2 linked regions of the Coturnix japonica genome follow. The protein of the gene in region 1 interacts with the protein of each later gene in a pairwise test. Links are inferred from orthologs where the notes say so. Each region holds a gene or a part of one and is shown on either strand. Other genes may lie near its edges.

The links.
Region 2: the proteins of GAPDH (region 1) and PRDX1 interact in a two-hybrid assay, tested with the Homo sapiens proteins (2 studies listed by BioGRID and IntAct, with this or other methods). The link is inferred for Coturnix japonica from reciprocal best matches to the Homo sapiens genes GAPDH and PRDX1.

Annotation. Positions count from the first base shown.
Region 1 is NC_029516.1:69,302,048-69,309,578, forward strand, and holds GAPDH (glyceraldehyde-3-phosphate dehydrogenase), read left to right. Parts: upstream 1-3,264; 5' UTR 3,265-3,388; intron 3,389-3,760; 5' UTR 3,761-3,778; coding exon 3,779-3,801; intron 3,802-4,415; coding exon 4,416-4,515; intron 4,516-4,728; coding exon 4,729-4,835; intron 4,836-4,919; coding exon 4,920-5,010; intron 5,011-5,117; coding exon 5,118-5,233; intron 5,234-5,334; coding exon 5,335-5,416; intron 5,417-5,585; coding exon 5,586-5,737; intron 5,738-5,850; coding exon 5,851-5,929; intron 5,930-6,140; coding exon 6,141-6,224; intron 6,225-6,368; coding exon 6,369-6,466; intron 6,467-6,814; coding exon 6,815-6,884; 3' UTR 6,885-7,121; downstream 7,122-7,531. Other genes in the region: C-type natriuretic peptide 2-like, read left to right, coding at 1,195-1,212, 1,489-1,749. UniProt on the Homo sapiens protein: Has both glyceraldehyde-3-phosphate dehydrogenase and nitrosylase activities, thereby playing a role in glycolysis and nuclear functions, respectively.
Region 2 is NC_029523.1:18,748,278-18,755,291, forward strand, and holds the end of PRDX1 (peroxiredoxin-1), read right to left. Parts: intron 5,409-7,014; 5' UTR 5,398-5,408; coding exon 5,292-5,397; intron 4,815-5,291; coding exon 4,661-4,814; intron 4,384-4,660; coding exon 4,261-4,383; intron 3,505-4,260; coding exon 3,374-3,504; intron 2,247-3,373; coding exon 2,161-2,246; 3' UTR 1,857-2,160; downstream 1-1,856. UniProt on the Homo sapiens protein: Thiol-specific peroxidase that catalyzes the reduction of hydrogen peroxide and organic hydroperoxides to water and alcohols, respectively.

The sequences.
Region 1 (7,531 bases):
CTGGATGCGTCTTGAAGTCTCTCCCTGATCCAGATAGATACCTCCAGGCCCCAGCCAGCAGCAGCTTGGCCTACATTTGTCTTCCCAGACACTCGGCAAACACTTTTGTGTCTATTCTTTAGAGGAAGGGGTCTCACTGAGCTCACCCTGAAATATATCACCATGGACAAAAGGGCTGAAAGGTTAAGGAGCTCCAGGGGGCTGTGCAGCAGAGCTGGGGGGCAGGCGCCCACCACAACCAACACTATAAAAGCAAAGAGGGGAAGGGCTCTCAGAGGCTACAGATCTTGCCTCACCTGCCATAAACCCCCAAATAAAGAGAAGATGCTGGGGCTCCCAGCGTGGCCCTGCTCGCTTTTCCTCCTCTTAGTTCTGCTCTCTGCCAGCGTACAAGCGATGTCCTCATCGGGACAAAGGCTCCAGGTAGGAGGGAATGGGATGGAGCTGCGGGAGGCTTTGGGAGTGGCAGGGGCAGTTTGGGGAGGTCGTGTTTGAACATGGTGTGAGGTGACCCAACATCCCAGCTCCCAAGGGCTGCTCCCTCCCCTTCAGTCCAACAGCCTCAGCTCTAGGCTGTGTCTATACAAGCCAGCTCCTTGAGGAGTGCTAGCATTTCAAGGTAGGGGCCAGGCAACAGACTTCTGAGTGCTCCTGGCTGTGGGTCTCTTCAATGCGTGCAGAGGCACCCTGCCTTCATATCAGCTCCTCTGTCCAAGAAGAAAGCTGCAAGGCAGGAGCTAGGATGTGAACTAGAAACGCAGGACTGATTCCGCTATGACTCATCATGGAGACACTTTCACTCTTCACTGAAGATGCCCATGTCTGCTTCCATTAACTGACTGCTGGAGAAGATGGAGCTAAATTGCACAAAGGCATCCATGTGATGCACAGGCATGGAGTAGCCACCACAGGCCGCCGCCATGGGCAGCAGCATTGTGCCCCCAGGGCACCTCCTGACCCATCTCCCTGCCGCTGGAGGATGCTGGCGGCTATGGAGGCATGTAATTAAATTAGAGCATGCCTGCCTGCACACAAACTATGGAGACTTCCCAGCAGATGAAGGGCCCGCCTTCCTTAGGCCCATTCTGATAGTTGACTGCTTTATGCTAACAGTTCCTCTGTGAAAAAAAGAAACACGACAAAACACCGTGAGCACACAGCAGCACTCAGCTGCACCAAAAGGACTAAGGGCCGATGACTGTTATTTTCCAGGTATGGAGAGAACTATTCAATAGCAGAAGGGCAAGGAATAGAGACAGCAATGCCCACAGCACTCCTTCCTGTTCTTTGGGCAGCAAAATCACCTCAGGCAGAGTAGCTGCGGGCCATCGGTGTCCTTGGTGTGGATGCAAGGTCACAGGCAGAGGGCTTTCACAGGCACCATTTCACGTCCTGCCCGAGCCTGAGGGACGAAGAGTGGGACAGTGGGTCGGGATATAAGAGCACAGACATTACACCCTCGCCCATCTCCATTTATCCCTCTCTCAGGTGCTCCTTTCCCGCCTGCTGCCCTCGGATTCCGAATCCCTGCCGGCTGATGAGGACATGAAGGAGGGCTCCAGCTCCAGCTCCGAGCCGCAGCCGCTCCTCCTGCCTCGGGCCCGAGCCGCACAGCCCCTGCTGTGGCGCAAGGCCCTCGCCGATCGCAAGCGAGCTCTGTCTGGAGACTGGGCCTGGAAGGCCGCGCCCCGGGGCTGTTTTGGGCTGAAAATGGACCGCATCGGGGCCTTCAGCGGGTTGGGCTGTTAGCCCGGAGAAGCTGGAGGTGAAGGGGGCAGCAGCGAGGGGCCGGCACAGCGGGCAGCGGCTCGCTCGTTGGCAGGCAGAGAGCGGCCGTGTGGAGAGCCGGCCCGGGACGAGACCCAGCTCGGGACGGGACAGGCTGGGGCAGCAGCGGCCGCAGCCCCGCGGGCAGGGCGAGGAGCGGCGGCGCGCGGGGGACTCGCGAATTAAACCGAGCTGTGCGGAGCCTCGTGTCGGAGCTGGCGGCACCGAAGGGCGGCCGGGCCGCGATACCCTCCCCGTGCCTCTCCCCGCCCGCGTCCGCCGGGAGATGGCGGCAGAGCCCGCGGCTCCGCACGGCAACGCGGCCCCCACGCGCGGGGCCATTTTGGGCGCCGCCGCCATTCCGGGTGGGCCGGGCCGCACGCGCGTCCGCGGCCTGGGCCCGAGCCCGGCGCTGGGGGGAGGATGGGCGGCGGGTCCATCGATCTGCGCCCCGGGGCCGCAGCGTTGTTCCGTCCCGCCACACTCTGCCCCTCGGCCGCTGCCGTGTTTGCCGAGCAAACAAGGGGCCTCCGCTCTCCCTGCCGGCCCTGACCCCGCGACGTGCGGGGGGCTCCCCCGGCCCCGCGATCGCAGCCCCCTTCGGGCCGCACCGCCGCCTCCCCTGGCCTTTAAGAAAAGGTCGTAACCTCAAGCCGGGGCTAAACTTAGCCGCTGCCCCTCGGTGCTCCGGGAATGGCAGCCGTACAAGGAGCGTTGGGTTACGGGAGCTGCGTGACCCCCCGCTCGGACCCTCTCCCCCCGGCATCCTCCGTCCCCACCGCTGGAGCCGGGGCCCACCTCACCCCTGCACGCCCCCTCCTCCCGCCGGGCATCCGGCTTCGAGCACCCGCTCCATCGCAGGGGATGGAGGCTATAAACCCAGCACGGCTCCATCCCACGGCCCCTCTTTGGGCCGCACGAGCCCCAGCCGTAACACGTAAGAACCGCTTCTTGCCCACACCCCGGGCCCGGCTGCCAGGCGCAGACGTGCCGGGCTGGGAGAGGGACGGCGGCGGCTCGAGGCGGCGGGAGGATATGAGGATATCCGCTGTCACGGCGCAAGAGATGCTGCAGTTCCTTATTAGCGCGGCCTGAGAGCGCCGGTGTGACAGCGGGTGCGGGACCCCGGCAGCCCGGGGCTGCGTGACCAACACGTGCGAGGGCTGATTATGGCAGCGGGCAGGCTGCGGGCTCGCAGCACGGCGCTCTCTCGGCCGTGCGTGCTGCCATTAATGCAGCCCGCACCCGCCGCACCGCATCGTGCTGCAGCCGCACCCCGCAGCCTCACCCGAGGACACCGACGCGGGGCTTTGTCTGCACCCCCCATCCGAAGGGCACCCCCACTCCGTACAAGCCCCGCAGTGCGGCCCCAACCCCCCGAGCCCACCCTCGACCCAACGGCCGCCCTTTGTTGCGAGGGGGGAGGGGGAGAGAAGCGGGGGGGGGGCTGCCGCTTCACCCGCACCGTGCGTGCACGTAGCCCCGGCCCGGCCCTCGCGCTGCCATTCGGTGCCGGCCCGGCGGGGCGGGGCGCGGGGTGCTGCCGCCGTGTCTATAAAGGGCGGCGGAGCGGCACTGCGCCACCTTCTCACTGCGCGCCGGGGCCGTTGACTAGGAGCAGGTAACGGGCGGGGGGCACGGGGGCGGAGGAACGGCTCCCCCCACCCCTACCCACCCACCCACCCAGCCGGCCGCCCTCCCGTCTGCTTGAGCCCCTCGTAGGGTCGGGGCCGTCGGACCGCGAGGAGTGCGGCGGGGGGAGGGGGCTGTGCAGGACCGCGTGGTGCCCGGGGCACAAAGGCGGGGGCGGGCGGCGTAAGATGGAGGCGGTGGGGGTGGGGGGAGAGGTGCGGGGGGCACAGCTCGGTGGGGATGGAGGGAGGGAGGGATGGCGGGTGGGGGGGCGGCTCCCGGTGCGTGCGGTGGGGGGGTGTTATGGGGCGGGCGGGCTGCGTGCGGTACCGCACGTCTGAGCGTTGGCGTGTCCCCGCAGGTACACTATAAGGGAGAGATGGTGAAAGTCGGAGTCAACGGGTGAGTGAGTGCGGAGCCGGGACGGGAGGCGCCGGGCGGGGCGGGCGGGGATGTACGTGCCCGTGGGGGGGGGGAGGACGACACGAGACAAGGTCGCCTGAAGGGCGGGGGGCCCCGCGGCGCCGCGGAGAGACCCCCCCATCCTCCAACCCCCAACCGGGAGTAACGGCCCCGTGGGGCGGTGCTGAGTCACTTCCCCGCACGGTCGGGGTGAGTCACCCCGGAAGCGCCGGTGCTGCCCGCGTGCCCCGTCGGGGGCTCTGCCCGCACTAATGGGGCTCCCCGGGGCAGTGGGTACCCGAGGAAAGGTCGCCCGGTGGATCGTGTGTCGGCCGTGCCCCGGGAACGTGACCTTCTCCCACCGCACCGAGGAGTAACCGGATCCCCGGGGCCCTCAGTAAATTTAGCGCCTGACCTTTGTGGTGTGGGTGCCCTGCCCGGGGGTCGCTCTTAATCTTTAACCACGGCTCCTCGGCCTTTGGCCGCTGCTGTTGGATTCCATTCAGGCAGCGACTGACAGATGCTCTGGGGGGAAGTAGCAGATAGGCTCAGCCGTGCCTTACCAAGCATGTTCCTCAGTGCTCCTCCTCACCCACCTCTCTGTTTCTCCCCAGATTTGGCCGTATTGGCCGCCTGGTCACCAGGGCTGCTGTCCTTTCTGGCAAAGTCCAAGTGGTTGCTATCAATGATCCCTTCATCGATCTGAACTACATGGTGAGTTGTCTTGCAGTGCCCCCTCTGGGCGATGCGTGCACCTTCAGCGGGGCTCCCCTTGGAAACCTGGCATAGGTTAAGAGAGAAATGAGATGTAGTGATGCAAAGCTGGGCAGAGCAAAATACAGAGCAGCAGTTAGACAAGATGGCTGGTATTGTAGTGGGAGCTTTGCATCTAGGATGCCTGACCCTTCTCTTTTCTCTCCCTGCTAGGTTTACATGTTCAAATATGATTCTACACACGGACACTTCAAGGGCACTGTCAAGGCTGAGAACGGGAAACTTGTGATCAATGGGAACGCCATCACTATCTTCCAGGAGTGAGTAGCTTTCTTCTCTCGCTGCTCCAGAGAATGAAAGTAAGTGCCCTCCAGAGTAACTCCCATGGTTTTGTCCCCTCTCAGGCGTGACCCCAGCAACATCAAGTGGGGAGATGCTGGTGCTGAGTATGTTGTGGAGTCCACTGGTGTCTTCACCACCATGGAGAAGGCTGGGGTATGTAGGCTGCTGTGGCCCATGGGAAAAGGTGCTCTGAGGATTGTATTCCTTCTCAACTGTTGGGCCGTTCTGGGTAATTTAATCTTTCCTTTTTTGTTTTTCAGGCTCATCTGAAGGGTGGTGCTAAGCGTGTTATTATCTCAGCCCCCTCAGCTGATGCTCCCATGTTCGTGATGGGTGTCAACCATGAGAAATATGATAAGTCCCTGAAAATTGTTAGGTAAGGGAGAAGAATGCTCCCTGGCCTGGAATTTTCTTCGGGTCTTGTTGCACGTATATACATGTGTTGTACTTGGCTGATGTGCCTTCTTTCTCCCCCAGCAATGCTTCATGCACCACCAACTGTCTGGCACCATTGGCCAAGGTCATCCATGACAACTTTGGCATTGTGGAGGGTCTTATGGTAGGTCTGGAGCTTGATGCTCAGTAAGATACCCTGCCCCCAGGTCCTCCATGTGTGGGGGAAAAAAGCATTCACACACAGTGCTTCCATTGGGCTTGGGAGGAAGTGCTGGGGGTGCTTTCTCTGGGGAAAGTGACTGCTTTCTTACTTCTGGGCCTTCTTTCCACAGACCACTGTGCACGCCATCACAGCCACACAGAAGACTGTGGACGGCCCCTCTGGGAAGTTGTGGAGGGATGGCAGAGGTGCTGCCCAGAACATCATCCCAGCATCCACTGGGGCTGCTAAGGCTGTGGGGAAGGTCATCCCTGAGCTCAATGGGTGAGCGTCCTCTTTCTGTGTCTGATGGGGGGCAGGAGCCAGTGTGTGGCTGGCTCAAACACTTTTGTGGTAGAACATGCTTACACTGTTCTTTGCTGACATATCTCTTGCAGGAAGCTTACTGGAATGGCTTTCCGTGTGCCAACCCCCAATGTCTCTGTTGTTGACCTGACCTGCCGTCTGGAGAAACCAGTAAGTGCTGTGGACAAGACTGAAGAATCTTCAGGCCTGCCTCTAAAATTACTTCCTTCAACATCAATCTATTTAATAGAAAAATCTTGGTTTTGCTGAAAATAGCACCTAATGTGCATGGCTAGTGCTATGCAGTTCCCAGTGTCTGGGCTGTAGCTGACACTTAGAGATGAGATTTGACCTGACCATCTTTACTTCTGCCTTTTTTTAGGCCAAATATGATGACATCAAGAGGGTAGTGAAGGCTGCTGCTGAGGGGCCCTTGAAGGGCATCCTAGGATACACAGAGGACCAGGTAAATAGTTGCTACGTAGGTGTCACTTGCCTCATTGTTCTGATGGTGGCAGCCTTGCTGGGGTGATGTTTTTGACGCTTCTGGTTCAGGCTGTTACCATCTTATTGGGTGGAAGAGTGCTTGACGGTTCTTCCTCTGTTCCAGGTTGTCTCCTGTGACTTCAATGGTGACAGCCATTCTTCCACCTTTGATGCGGGTGCTGGCATTGCACTGAATGACAACTTCGTCAAGCTTGTTTCCTGGTATGCTCAGCCTCGGGGTGTGGGGGAGACTGGGAGGGTAGAGACGAGCAGTTCTGGTGCAGTTCTGTGCTGTTTCATTTTGTCAGCACCATCTGGCAGTGCATGGCAGCACAGGGTTCAGGTGGCTTCAGCATGTGACGGTCTCTAGTGAGATGGCTTCGTATCTGAAATGGCTGCAGCTGCCTTCCTGTAATGGAGGGCAGATGGGATGCTGCCTGTTTGCTTCATAAGGATTGGATGGGAAGCCTTGCCACTTGGTTATATGGGCTGAGGCTGGAAGAGCAGTAACATGAAGAGGGATACGAGGAGCTGGATCAGTGCTGACTGCACTTGTGTTTCCCTTCTCAGGTATGACAACGAGTTTGGATACAGCAACCGTGTTGTGGACTTGATGGTCCACATGGCATCCAAGGAGTGAGCCAGGCACAGGCACACAGCCCCCCTGCTGCCTAGGGAAGCAGGACCCTTTGTTGGAGCCCCCGCTCTTCACCACCACTCAGTTCTGCATCCTGCTGTGAGAGGCCAGTTCTGTTCCCTTCTGTCTCCCCCACTCCTCCTCCAAATTCTTCCTCAGCCTGGGGGAGGTGGGAGAGGCTGATAGAAACTGATCTGTATGTGTACCACCTTACATCAATAAAAGTGTTCACCATCTGAAGCGCTTTGTTTGCGTGTCATTGGGAAGCAAAAAAGAATTGAATGTATGCTTTAAGGTAGCCCAGCCAGCCTGTAACTGCTGGGCCAGCAGCTCCAGCCAGTGCAGGGCTGCTGTGCATGGAGCTATGCTGTGCCTGCCAGCAAGGGAAGGACTCTTGCCCTTAAGCGAAAAGGTGTGGAGGGCTTTGAGTGGAAGATGTGCTGTGTGGTGGAATGGTGAGCAGATGTTCTTCATCCACCTTCCAGCTCTCTGGATTTTCCTGTTTGATGGGTGTGTGCAGAATAAAGTGCTGAGGATGACTTGCGTTTTCACTTGTTAAAAGGGCATGAAAGCCAGGAGTTTTTCAATTCCTTCTTCCTTACTAGAGATGCAACAAAGTGAACTGAAAATAAATCTGCCTGGAAGAAATG
Region 2 (7,014 bases), on another chromosome or scaffold:
CTTCCACCCAGCTCTATAGCTGCCCTGTGTGCTGCAAGGGCGCGTCCATTACAGCACATACTGAGCAGAGCTGTCTGCCCACCCCACCCTACAGCTTCACATAGCCCCTTATTGTTCCCTTTGCAAAGCTGAATCACGAAGTTTCTCTTGTAAGCCCTCTATAGCTCAATATGTCCAAGTCACTCAGAACTTATGCAGGCTGTCACTACTGAACATCAGTGTAACAACTTTCAGAGTACATTTTTCAAACTATGAATAAAATCCATGCTTTATGCAACCACCCTTTTGATGTAGAGTGCAATTGCTGAGGTCTGCACATATTCTTTTACAACCAAAGTGCACCGTTTCACAATATCTGTGGCACATAACCTACCTGCTTATGTTCTTAGACCTGTATTGATCTGTTGGACGAGGCGATGTACTCCAATTGTATCAACGCACTGCATTCATTCCCATGTTTAACCGGTTATTTGGCACAAACACAGTGCAGTACAAGCACAACAAGCTGCAGCCGTTAGCAGAGCGAAGGCAGCAGGGTTTTTATCGGGCCTTCCCACACACACCCGGCTGTGGGGAAATGGCGCCTCCCGGCAGGGCGGGAACAACAACACCGCCTCAGGGAGGGGGGCGGCCCCGGAGCGCTCCGGGCTGCAGGGGAAGTGATTTTAGTTAAGTGAAGGGAAAACAAAACGCATTCCAATAGACTGAAACACACAGAGCCCTCCCGAGGACTGCTGTTACCAATCCCCTCCTACTTCAAAGTGAGCAGAGCCCAGTGCAATTGAAGGCTGACACCAGACTAGCTCTGACCTCCCCCATTGCCCTTTTAACAGGGGAAAACTTCATATTCAGCACCTGACTCCTTTGAAGTAGCCCTGGGTCTTAACTTTGTTGCTGTTCACTTCAGCAAATAGAACTCATTTCTACATCTTAGTATTTGAGAGTTGTTTACATACCTGTAAAGATCTATCACAAGGCTCCAACTCGCTTGCACTGCAAAGCAGTAGCTCCTTTACACATGAAGCCACATGGCCAATACAGCTGTAATTAAGTTTAAGTTGATCAAGGCATACAACTATGGCCTTATGTGCATATTATAAAACTCATGCATAGTACAAAGATAAAAGGTGAGGCTGAGCCAATCCAGGTATCCTAGTTCATAGTGTCACCCTTTTGATCTTCTCCAGTACCTTGCAGTCATATGATCAATTGGCATGTTCTTACTCCTCCCAGGACTCCCAGCTCCATGTTGTGCATCCAAAGAAGCCACACCATATACAAAAAGAAAGTTATTTCCAGGAAGCCCAATATTCCACTCCTCTGGTGTCTTCAAACTGCATGTTTGGATTCCCAGAGCTTTGGCCTATGCAATCCATTTTGACCAAAATAAATTCATACTGTACACAAAGACATGCCTGGTCTCTGTCAGCCACAACTGGGCTTCACACTCTGCTCTGCAGTACTTCTTAACCCTGACAGATCCAGGTCAAAATGCATTCCACTACATTCCATTTTTTTCTTCTGCTAAGAACTTTACAATACAAACACAGAAGTGAGTGTTGGGATCTCATTCTAATGGAGCTGCAGAAGGCCTCTGGGAATTTGGCTGCCTACAAGCAGTTCAACAGACAGACTGAGCAGCAAGACCATGATTTTTCACTGCTATCTAGAAGTTGTCTTACTGAAACAGAGGATTTCACCATAACCCACATATGCTATGAAGGAGTACAGTTCGCTCTACAGAGATCACTTGTGTATTCTCTAGTGAATTCACTTTGTCAGTACTTGTCAGTGAAGCAGAAGCACAGCCTGCATAGCTCACCAAGCTCTTGACTACACAAGACCAGGACACAGTGTGCTCTTTCCACAAGTTTAATAGTTACAAAAGGATACCATTATTCTATATGCAACGCATGGCTAACCACATATACTGCATCATCACTAAAGTCAACAGGCCACGATGTACAGATATTGATCATTAAGGTTTTCTATAAAGTTACTGTCAACAGGACTAACTTTCCTTCAAGTAAAAAAAAAAAAAAGTTACTGCTTATACCTCTAGCATGATCCCTTGACTCAAATGCAATGAATTAGTCAAAGTTCAGTAACTGGTACTTGCTCTTTATGTAAGGCATACTAGTTTCCACTCAGAATGAAAGTTTACTTCTGCTTGGAGAAATACTCTTTGCTCTTCTGAACATCAGGCTTGATTGTATCACTGCCGGGCTTCCAGCCAGCGGGGCACACTGAAACAATAAGAACATGTAAGCCTTCCTAGCCACTCCCACTCCGTTTTATACAGACACTAAAGCATGTTAGTAACAACTCATAGCTATTAAAATTCTTGCAACATACATAAATCAATTCAGTATTATCTTCAGCTCTCAGCTTCTGATTGTTGCTATATACCTTAGCCTAGCCTAGACTTCAGCCTTGCTCTGGAAGAAGAGCTTCTGCCAGGTTTTGACTACTCCAGGGCACAGCAAACTTCAAAGGGCTTCATGTGACAAAGGCAACATGTGACTGCCCCCATCAACATATATTAAGGATGCCTCCTCAGTTGAAATAGAAAATGGCATCTAAGTTAAGAAACATTTACGCTCTTTGGGCTACAGCACAAAAACCAATAGCAACTGGTTTTAATAAAGTGCAACACAGATCTACCAGCTCTGAAGCACATTATGCATGAGCAATAGCAACACCTGCAATTAACTAATAACAGCTAAATACTACTAACACCTTTATGTTAATTCTAGCTTTACATAAACCACATCAAAGCTTTCATATGCAGTGTGCTTTTTTATTCTAGGAAAAGCATCCAGCCTCGAGCACCTTTCTATCACTCTTGTACTACAGGCACAAGAACTCTTGCCATTTTCCTCTTCACTTGGCCTCAGTACTCATGGACACAAACCAGCAGGCTTTCAGAAAACTTAAATGCTCCAACAGACTGCTTAGTATATGTATCATCAGTACCAAATGTGTCCAGCCTATCAAGTCTGAGAGCCAAGTCTAAGTTATGTTTGCCTCTGCAGGCAAAACTAAGACGTTCCTCAACACTGGAACATTTTCTAATTGAAGAAGGGTATTGAAGAGTGTTGTCCAACTGAAGATGGACCTACTGCTACGTACTTGCCAAGATGCCCAGCACGTGGTTTAAGTGATTTCAACATCAAGCAAATACTTGATGGACCATTAACTGGAATAAGGTTGTATGGTGTTGTGGTGCACTTCAATAAACATCTTTACAGAAACAGCTTCGTTACAACCAGCACAATTCTATACATAATTAGTAACTTTCAGCAAACCTATCTAACCTGCTTAGTTAATACTATTCTCTAGAGACCCATTTAGAATCAGAGTGATCCCTTACCTTCTCCATGTTTATCTGTAAACTGGAAGGCTTGCACAAGCCTCAGGGTCTCATCAACAGAACGGCCAACAGGAAGATCATTAATTGTTATCTGCCTCAAGATCCCCTTCTCATCAATTATGAACAGGCCCCTACAAAGACAGATCTGAAGTTAAACACAAATTTGGACAGATTTGCCTGAAACAATATTCAATCATAAAACTTAATGGCATGGTATAGTATTATCGACCTCTTCCTTTCCCAAAAGCAGAGCCCTGTTCCTACACTAATACAACATCATAATAAAACAATCATACATTCAACAGGAGCTAAGAGAGACAGGAGATAAATATGAAATGAAGTGTTACTTTCCTGTGTTTATTTTGCTTTAAGGAAAACAAAAGAAATGAGGAAAAAAAGGAAAAAACAACTATGCAGTTCTTAGAAATACAGCTATGGCCAATTGCCCATCAGTTAGTTCTCTATAATCACATGAAGAGTTAGCACAAGTTCAGCTCCTTCAGCAACTTCAACTGTTCAGCTGACTAAAAGATAAGGCACAGCTTTTAATTCCTCTGTACTTTAGTCACTAAATACCTCTAATCACTTTCAGGACTATGCAGATCTTGTATTAGCCATGTTTGCATAAGCTCACCTGCATCATGTAGATAGGTAACGCTCTAAGTAATGCTGTTATCAAAGGAAAGCAGCAGACATTTATCTAGCTTACCAAAACCCTAAGTCTAAACAAGTAACGTCTCTCCTTGCACAAGTGTGATAGCTTAAAGCAGCTTACATCTTGAATAGCTGAGAACTTCAGTTCACTGCAGATGTTCAAGTATATGCAAGTTCTGCATTAAAGTTGCATGATGCAATAACATTAACAGGCTTACCCTATTGCTCATTACCTGTATGCAATACCTTCATCCTCCTTAAGTACTCCATAGTCTCTGGCAATGTCACGCCTTGTGTCAGAAACCAGTGGGATTTTCATAGTGCCCAAACCACCTTGTTTCTTAGGAGTGTTGATCCTAAGAGCAGAAGTGTTAAGAAAGAAGGTCAGTTCATAATGTACAACAGAGGCTCATCCAAAGCGCACTTCAGATGCACAAAGCATGCCAGGAAGTAACAAAGGAACTGCCCGGTACTCCCAATTCTGTTCAGAAGCATCTGGAATGACAGTACTTCCTACAGGACTTTATTTGACACACAAGTAAATTAAGTTTAAGTCTGAATACTCAGAATCCAGTTCCTGTAAGAACTGAGGCCAGGCACAGTAATGTCTAATGTTAAAAGGCTGATTCTTACCAGGCAAGGTGACAGAAGTGAGAATCAACAGAAGCTCCAATTATTTCACAGTTAATTTTCCTGAATTCATCAGCTCTGTCGCTGTATGCGATGATTTCAGTTGGACAAACAAAAGTGAAATCCAGAGGGTAGAAGAAGAACACAACGTATTTCCCTAGAAGAGCAATGTCACCAGTTAATCTCTTACATTAGGTTCTACAGCAGTACCAAGCCTGCAAGGAGTGACACAATAGTTTTCTAGTACTTCAGCAGAAAGAAGCTTCTTTAGTTAGAGGGAATTCTACTTTCCACCAACAAATAAACAAGATCTTGTAGTTTCACCTGTTTTGAAGCTGTTATATCAGACTCAAAATGCCTGAATCTAGGATAAAACTTAGTTGTTCTATTTTAGAGGAATTTCATGCTAATAACCAACAATCATCATAATTAGGACATTCAGTCATGCTGTCAACAGCTTCCCAAACACATTCCAGTTGGCAATGAACAAAATCACTGTAAATTAACTACAGTCAAGTGGTCACTGTTACTTGGAAACCAAACCAAAGGCTTCATTAGATGCTCCCCCTCCCCACCTCCCATCCCCTGCACAAGGGGAGACTGCATTTGCATAATTAGATGTACATAAGCCCACCTCTATAGTCAGAGAGCTTGATATCCTTGAATTGCCCATCTGGCATTACTGCTGTGGCAGTAAACTCAGGGGCTGGTTTTCCAATGAAAGCCTTTCCTGAAGACATCTTGATTTAATCTGGAAAAGAATTAACAGCGCAGTTTAGATAGCTGAATAGTTTGAATACATCTTACTTCCAGGTGCAAAGCATCATATCAGTTTAATTATCAATGGGGCAGTATATCAGCATTTGATCTGGCAGCAAGGCTTAAGAGCAAAACTCATTTTAAGCTTATCACCTGGGTAGTCAGGTATCCAGATGAAACTACTAAGCACATTCTTTAAGGCATGTTAGTTTCCTAAGGACACAGTTATCTTTGACCAGGAACAGCTCATTACAGGCTAGAAGCGAGCCAGCTGCCTAGAGTTTTAGCTGTATCCACACTAAGCCTTTGTTCCAATAGGTGGATGAGCTATTAAGTCTTTCTTCCTAAATTCTGATGATGAGACTCTTGTTCAAATTCACAAAGGAATGTAAGACCTCAAACCTTATTTCCAAGCAGAGTTTGATTAGTCTCTAAGAGACCAACACTCTCCATAACTACTCTTCAGCCTTGCAAACAAAGAAGCCTTGTTTTATTTACAAACAAAAGACTCGTGATTTTGATCTACAGTTCATATTAACAACTACAGGCTCACAAACTCTTAAACCAGTGCAGCCAGGCTGGTTCCCCTGAGCATTTCAGTCTATTGAAAAAGAGTAAGAGTGTGCATGAGGCCAAGAGAAGTTTACTTCTGGCCATCAATCCTAAGTCCAGTCCTTTGCAGACACGTTCTGTACAGCACTTTTGCTCAGTGTGCAGATGCAGCACTTCAGAATCCCAGTTCCCTGCAGAGCACTGCCTTTCAAATACAAAACTTCATGAACCTCATTCCCTCAGCTCAGTCTTTAAGTGATCTCACTGAAGCCATTTTACATGCTGCAAAAGAATTATCTGGCACGGAGACACAAGCCCCTGAGCTGTTAGTATTACTGAGTCTCATATTGCTACAGAAAGCTGAGTTTCAAAGACCTTAAAAACCCTGCTTGCATGGCACAAAGTCCATTCCAGAACAGGGCAGATGCACTTCATTTCTTGCCTCCTTCTCCCTTGCCACAGCTCCAGGAGAATTACCTCACATGTCATAAGAATTTCTATTCAAGTTAAACTGATCAATTTAGAGCTTCTATGAGGAGTTTAACATTTGAAGGCTCCTCTCACATGCAGAGAGGATGGACAGTAACCCCCTCCTTCATTTTGCTTTGCAAAATGCCACCTTACTCAGCACAATTAACTGCCTCGTACAAAGAGTTCCACATTCCCAGCTCATCCGAAGGGTTCACCTTCAAATGCAGCGAACCAGGACAGAATCTTATGAACCAAGGTAGCCAGAACTGCAAGGCATTCATAAGAGGATACTGAAACGGTCTAGAATGATGACATTAATAATCCTTCCGATCACTTCATGGAGCCACAAATGCAGATGCAAGTCTGAAACTGCCATTGCACAGCATTTGTCAGACCCTCAGCCAGAAAGTTCTGTCTTTTAAGCAATACCTGCTTTATCTGCAGTACATGACCCCGTGTTTTACCACGGAATTACATTCTTTCCCTGTACTCAAGCTCAAGGTCATCCCTTTGCTCAGTACTACGCCAGACCTATATTTGTTCCATCAGCGCTTCCCTGGAGCGTAATACCAGGG